2 linked regions of the Rattus norvegicus genome follow. The protein of the gene in region 2 purifies or fractionates together with the protein of the main gene of each other region. This does not show direct contact. Links are inferred from orthologs where the notes say so. Each region holds a gene or a part of one and is shown on either strand. Other genes may lie near its edges.

The links. The genes of interacting proteins can lie anywhere in the genome.
Region 1: the proteins of Hdac4 (region 2) and Tbl1xr1 purify together in Homo sapiens (affinity purification with mass spectrometry; 3 studies listed by BioGRID and IntAct, with this or other methods). This does not show direct contact. The link is inferred for Rattus norvegicus from reciprocal best matches to the Homo sapiens genes HDAC4 and TBL1XR1.

What each region holds. Positions count from the first base shown.
Region 1 is NC_086020.1:106,849,165-106,852,664, reverse strand, and holds part of Tbl1xr1 (F-box-like/WD repeat-containing protein TBL1XR1), read right to left. Parts: coding exon 3,379-3,500; intron 1,580-3,378; coding exon 1,478-1,579; intron 689-1,477; coding exon 662-688; 3' UTR 1-661. UniProt on the Homo sapiens protein: F-box-like protein involved in the recruitment of the ubiquitin/19S proteasome complex to nuclear receptor-regulated transcription units. Plays an essential role in transcription activation mediated by nuclear receptors.
Region 2 is NC_086027.1:100,194,838-100,198,872, forward strand, and holds the start of Hdac4 (histone deacetylase 4), read right to left. Parts: upstream 2,801-4,035; 5' UTR 2,723-2,800; exon of another isoform or gene 2,464-2,722; intron 1-2,463. UniProt on the Homo sapiens protein: Responsible for the deacetylation of lysine residues on the N-terminal part of the core histones (H2A, H2B, H3 and H4).

The sequences.
Region 1 (3,500 bases), on a different chromosome or scaffold from region 2:
CTCCACAATATGCACCTATTGAGTATATGCTCTGGGAGCCATCAAATGTACCAAACATCTACCTCTTCCAAAGAATGCAGGAAAATATTTTTAAGATTATTTTTTGTTTGTTTGTTTAAAAGGTGAGGAAAAAAAAAAGCAAGAAAATGATTCACTCCCTTACTTCATGCATCCGTAATCTAAACCAAAAACAAACTTGGAAGCAAGAACCAACTACTGCCGCAAGCTTCTGTTAAGTCCATGTTCTCTGTACATACAAACTGCGCACTACTGAAGGGGAAAAAATATAATCCATGGTGTCTGCTGATTCAAAGGGGAGAAACAAGGCTGTCATTGATATTCAAAACTGGGACATGTGTGGTTTGCTCTTATAACGCATATTCCTTCTCTTCTGGTTTCCATATCCAAACTTCTAAACACTACTTAGGGGCACAGCAGGTTAGATCCCAGCACTTGGTGAGCAGAATTCACAAGCTGGGACGAGACTGTCATCTTCAGGGTACAGCTGTGTTCATATACACTGCATGTATATATTTCTCTTAGATTTGGCTGTAGTGGACTGGCCATGGTTCAAATGGGACTATAGCAGTTATGTGGGTCAGGGATAGTCTTGTGGCTATGTACACATTCATAGTCGGTCCATGGCTTCCAACTAGTAACGCTATTTCCGAAGATCTAAGACACAAACCTGTAAGAGATGACAATAGTCAGCCAGGATCCAGAAATCTACCTTACATTGCAAGCTTAACTTCTATAAAGAGTACATTGTAATTTACAGTCTGTCTCTAAGATGCATATTCATAAAATCAAAGTAACAAATCATGGAAATAAATCTTAACTGAAGGGCATCAGGTCTCCATGCTGTGACGTGAGCCCTTGCGAGGTGCAGTAACTGTGGAAATGCTGCTGTAAGGTTTAGGAATTAGTCCTTACAGTCAGTGAAAAGGGGATGGGAAACATACACAGCAGACAGCTTCTAACTCTCGGATCTGAACAGAAGATACCAGGAGTTACAGAGGCCACCTCGCCAATAGCTCAGCTCTCCCTCTCCAGCTTTCACTGCTTTGGAACAGTAGAGACCATAATTACCACATCCTGGAGGTCTCAGTACCAAATATCTCCCTGCAGAAATCAGCCTCCATTCTTCAACCTCTAACACCCCTCTACAGAGAGGAGAGTTGGGGAAAGGGCTTTAAAACTACCATTTAGCAAGAAATACTTCATGACATTTAATTCCACAAATGGAAGATTTACATTGGAAACTGCTCATTGCTTGTTTATAAAGACTCTTTGGCAAAGTCACCCCTAAGTTTTATTCATATTATTCAAAATGTAATGAACATATTTAGCACAAAGCCCAGGGAGAGGTGTTGGAAATGGTGTTGATATTTTAACCAAAATTTGTTATTTTGCAACAAACACAACTGTGTACCTAACATGTCCCCTTCTCTTTAAAAAAATTCATGTGCATACTCACTGAACCATCCGAAGCACTGGCTCCAACTTTGTCTCCTGCTGCGTTCCAGCAAACTTCAAAAATCCCACCTGTTCCCCTGTAACTGTGAACTAGAGCACCTGTCTAAAAATATGAAAAACAGACGCCTAAGTATCATTATCAAAATCTATAATGTAGGAAAGTGACATGAAACCCCATCCTCACCCCTATCCCTCCTCTCCCCAAAATATGTAAGTAGTTAATGGTTGATGGAGGAGGAAAGGACATTTTCTTCAGTGGTGTACCCACTGAAAAGTTGCCTGTGCTCCCATAAGTAACTCTATTTTAATCCCCCAGATGACATTAGAGAAGAGAACTAAATAGGAGGAGTTAGTGGTAATGTGAGAAGAGAATGGTGGAGGAGGGCTGATCAAAATGTTCTGTATCATTTATAAGCATATCATGATGAAACCTGTTATTATGTGTAAGTACTATATAGTAATTTTTAATTGGAAAAGGCAGGAAAGAGAGGAAAATGGGGAGGGAGGGAAGAACTTACTTAAGAGGCTACTATAGAATTATAGTAATTCATATAAACTTAGTATAAATAATTAATTTAAAAAGTAGTATATGGGCTCAAAATAAACTGTCAAAGATAAAAATTTTTTAAATTAATTAGGTATTAGAATGAGTCAAAAATATATGATGATGCATTAATTTTCTAGCAATCAGAGGTGGGCCTTGGTTTCAAATAACAATATAGGCAAGTTCTAAACCTCTGGAAATAATAATTTTATGGTAACCCCTTTCACTGATGTTATCAGACTATCCTCAAAGGATGGTTTCAGCCCAAACTGTTTTTCTAGTGTTGGTGATTCCCCACTAGGATGTTTAGCTTCCTTAAAACAATACCTACAATGAACAATGAATGCAGAAGAAGAAGCATACTCGTCACCAAGGGACATATACATTTTACCAACAGAAAAAAATATATCGCAATGGAGTACACAATAGAATATTATGTAGCCTTAAAGAAAAATTAACCATTACATTTTACAGGAAAATCAGTGAAGTGGAATGTTAAGCAAAATATGCCAGACTCAGAAAGACAAATACAACACGTTCCTTTTCATGAGTATCCTACATTTTAGCATGGGAGTGCAAATCATGAAACTAGAGATGGTTTTACGAGAGGGAGCAGAGAGGCCTTAATAGAGGAGGAGGACATGAGGATTGGAAGGGCAGCTCAGGGGAAGTGAATGGAGAGGTGGGCGGAGGAGCAGAGACAGGAGCAGGAAACAGGCTTATTAAAAACAAAGTATGTGCAAAGTGCCATAGTGATGTTCTTTAGGTAAATGCTAGTTTTTAAATGTAAAATTCAAATGAATTTTCAAATCTGCAGAGCAGTCAGCCTAGGATACTCAGCTTCACTTCCCATACTGGAAGCTTGGAACTGCAATATCATCCTCCACCTAGAAACGGGACCCTGCTGAGTGTGTGCTAGAAGCATGGTGCTTTGTTCAGTATGAAACTCAGTAAGGATGAAAGAGAAGGTAGGCAGAACAGTCACTGTCGGACATGAAGGCAAAGATGGCCAAAACCTCCTCAGTACGGACCTTCTTGAGCATCAGCTGTGCAACTTAATGAAAAATACTAGATGTGATGGTTTATAGCAAGTAACTCATCAAATAAACAACGGTAGAAATCTACTACAGAACAGAAAATGGCTGCCTGCAATGTATTAAGTATGACCTACACCAACCAAGACATGGGGAACACAGAGGGTGATTCATGGGGCACAAAAGAAAAGCTATAAAATGCCCCCAAATACTTTTTGATTCTTAAAACTATTAAGTTGATGTCACATACAGAAAAACAAAAACGTATGTAAATAGGTGAATGCTTCTAACTTAGTAAGTGAAGCTTAAATTAATGGGACATACCTGTGTGTTCCAGATGTGCACACACTTGTCAAAAGAACCACTTGCCAGATACCTGCCATCAGGACTAAAAGCCACACTGTACACAGGCTCTTGATGTTTTGTCAAAGTATGGATGCAAATCC
Region 2 (4,035 bases):
ACCTCGAAGGTCAGTGTCACACTTAATGCCCAGAGGTGGATGAACAGCAGGACACAAGATGGTCACTGGAGATCAAAACAAAGCCATTCCCAAAAATCTCCTTGGGACCCCTCCCCAAGGCTGGGTTTCAACCAATGGGACATGAGCTCAACTCTGGATTCAGCCTGCTCAGTCACCCCAGGGCCCAGAGACATCAAAAACCCTGGTCTTGGGCCTGAGCCCCACCCCCAATCTCCCTGTGCAGCAGGTGTCTCTCATTTCTGCATCTCCCTGGTTCCCCACGTCAGGTATTAATGTATTACTTATGGTAGCTTCAGAGTTCTGAAAAACCAGCCGTTTTCAATAGAAAATGGCATGGACGAGGCTCGACAGGAGTGATGAAATTTTCTTCTGCTCTGGCAATTAGGACGGCACAAAGTCTCCTTTCCTTTGGTGCCACCCCCAACATCAAAGGATTGGAATTCAAAGCCATTCATGCTGCATTGAAACCTCACAATGAGGCTGGAAAATGGAAGTCGATTACTGGGCAAAAATATGCAGTAGTTAAAAGGAAAGGGTTATAACGAAATTAAGCTGCAGCAGCCCCACGATGTGTGGAAACTTCCAGCACCAGAGCTCTTCTGGTAAACATCAAGAGGGGCATCATCCTAACACAGCTTCGAAACCAAAGTCAAGCTAGGTGCCAGGAGCCCCGTGAAGAGTGCCATGTTCTCTTGCCACCTCGCACAGCAGCAGCCCCTGACTTCTGCAAAGGTGCCACCTGGGGGCTTTATATGCTGCCCAGCTCCCTGACGCTGCTAACCACAGAATGTTCTTGCTAGGGCTGCTTTGGTCACATCTGTCCTTGGTCCCTAGGCTTTCCAGGCCTCTCTGCAGTCCACAGTCATTCTCTCCCCCTCAGGGCTCTCAGATACCCGGTAAGCAGCCGGCAGACCCCTAAAGGGGGCAGTGTTACCTCGGCCTTCTAGCAAACCCAGCCTCTTCTGGGTGATTACTGCTCTTCAGGAAGGCATTTGATCTTTAAAAGAAAAGCCAGAACACAGAAAGCCATAGAAGTCTTACAGTGTGTCGGGTGTGTGTTTTTAAAGCATGAAAATACTTCCCTCCCACACAAACGGGGAGTTCTTCTGGGGAAAGATGCCACAGATCCCGAGGAGTGGCAGATCTGGGAAAGCGAATGGGTCTTAAAAATAGACAATTGAACCTAGACTAGAGCTGCAGAAGCTACCTGGGGAAAAATGAGAATTTTTAACTAAATCTCGCATATTTTTTTGATATCCAAAACTCCATTCTGATGAAACTTCTAACTGGGTGGCATTTTGCATTTCCAATTATAATGGAGTAATTGTGTTGCCATAGAGACTGCAAAATTCTGCAATAACTTTTGCTGCCTTGTAACTGCTATAGTGTATATTTGTGTAGAAGCAGCTGAGTTTTCTTAATTCAACCTCCTTGCCTCTCACAAGCGTTCTACCACCACCACCACCACCACCACCACCACCACCACCACCACCACCACCACCACCACCACCACCACCACCTTCTTTCTGGATGGATTTTGAAACCACCACACTAGCTTTCATCAAGCCGGTCCTGAAATAATGCACGGAATTATCAGAAGCAATTAAAACTCCTGGCAACCTCGATCATATCACGGAGGAAAAACCGAAACCAGGTCAAGGTGCAAGCCGCCAGCATCCCCCTAGCCCCAAAGTGCGACAGGGCCATGGCTGTTTACACGTTAATACTCCGCAGGCCTTAAATGCTTAGGTGGTTTGTGGGAACAGGCAGAAACGCCTGAGCAGAGAAAAGCAGGGAGGCAAAGTGACTACACAGGCCTTTCCTTCCTCCCCGAGCAGGCAGAGTGGCTCTCGGAAAGCAATTAGGTAGGTCTCTACAGTAATGCAATTAGGATTTAGTTAAGAAAGTCATTAGTTCTAAAATAACTTAAGTTTAATTTCTGCGACGCTTTATTTGAAAATCGTGTCACAGCAGGTCAATTTACAGCATGCAATAACCAAAACACTGCTATCAGCGGCTGCAAGTTATTAACAAATTCTCCGTGTGCATTAAAGGAGAACACGGGTTCCACACCCGGCCTTTCCGACCGACTCCGGCGGTGTGGGCTACAGCCGTGCCTTCGGAACGCTCGCTCAGGGTGGACACCGGGTCGTCTCCCGGGCTAGCGCAGCTTCTCGCCAGCCCAACGACCGTCCGGGCCCAGCCGCGGCCCCCGCCCCGCCGCCCGCCGCCGCCGAGGGGCGTTTTCTGCAAACTCACAGGCTGACAAAGTTACATAAACGCCCCGGCCCCCGCCCCCGCGCGCCCACCTGCCCGCCCGCCGGCGCAGGCCGCTCTCCCGCCCGCCAGCCCGCGGCGCAGGGCCCCGAGGCCTCGGCGGGGCCGGGCGTCCACCTGCCGCCAGCAACCGGGCGGCGCGGACAATGACGGCCGGTGGCTTACCGCGGCGGCGGCGGGCCGCGTCTAGCCCTGCTCGGGCGCTCCGAGCCGCATCTCCTCAGCCTGCGCCGCCGCCGGCGGGCGGGCGGGCTCGGGCGGCGACGGCGACAGCAGTCGCGTTGAGCGGGCCGGGCGTGAGGCGGCGCGGCGACGGCGGCGGCGCGAGCAGGCGCGCGGGCTCGGGCTCGGGCGGCGGCGGGGATGGTGCTCCGCGGCAGCGGCCCCACAACCTCCCCTCCTCATTCACAAAAAATTGACCCACGTTGAACCATGATGCTGCTCCCCCTCGAGCGCAGAGCCGCGCGGGGATAGGCCGCGCCCTACGCCCGTCAGGCGCTCCAACCCCGCCCCTCCCGCCGTCGGCCCACCAGCCATTGGCTGCAACGGCTTTGCGTCACCTCCCCCCGTGGGCCCCGCCCCCTGCCTGGTTTCTAATGAAGAAAGCGTCAATTACGGCTCGGCCCCGCCTCCAAGAATTCAGTTGCTCTTCCATTGGTCCGAGAGTCCTAAGTCCGCCCTACAATAGCCCAACAGCCACCCCCGCTTCGCGGGCGCTGCAAAGGGGCTCCGCCTTCGATCGGCCTCTCTCAAAAGTTACAAACCCCATTGGCTCCCGGCCTTGTCAATACTAGTGAGCGGGGCGTACCGAGGACTCTCCAGGCGCTAGCTCTGAGAGCTTCGCTGTGGAGAAAGAGCAGGGAGCTGGTGCACGTACTGACTGATGCTGTTGACAGACCTCCTCGGCAGCCCGCGGCGCTGCCCGGGTCAATATAGTGTGCCTGAGTTCATGTCTCATGCTCTAAGGGGGCGCGCAAGAGCGCAGACTGTGACGGGGGCCCGGTCAGGCCTGGCTGCAACCTCCATCTTGGGCAAGGCACAGGTCACGTGGGCTGCGTGCGGGGGACGCCGAGCCCAGAGGGAGTGCGCAGGCGCGGCGGGCCCCGCCCTGCCCCGGGGCAGGCGCGCCGCTTGGGGGTGCGGCTGTGACTATGGGCCCTTGCGTGGCCGTGGGAACTGGGAATTCAGGGACCGTTGCTGTGGCGGAGGTGTAGGCTTTGGGTCGCCGCCACCGCGTCCCGGTTTGCTGAGACCCACCCCTTCTTTGCTGGGGTTCTTCTAGACCTGGGTCAAGCACCTATAAGTGGCGTACCCGGGTGTGGATGGGCATGAAAGATCATGCTTCTGACGCCCCTGGGTCCATTACCTTTCATCAGGAGAGTAGTGCAATTTCTCATCCTGTGTGCATGGTATTTCCAGAATCTCACATCTAGAACGAAGGAGAGAGCATCTGGTCCACCCTACATGGTCTGACTGTCCTAGGATGCTGGCCTGTCTACTAGGCCTTGACTTGTAGGAATTGAATAGAGACCGAATAGTATTTTTTGATCCGTGACTGGGGGATAATTGAAGGTATGTGGATGAAAACAATTCGCAAAATGCAATAGATTCTTTTCATTATCTCAGGGTAATAGTGAACTAGAGAGCTTCGTTCATTGGGAGAAATTCAGACGCTAGGATAGCTCAGCTGCGAAGCCAAGGGATGAATTGTGGAATCAAAAAGAGTAGAAGAAAATG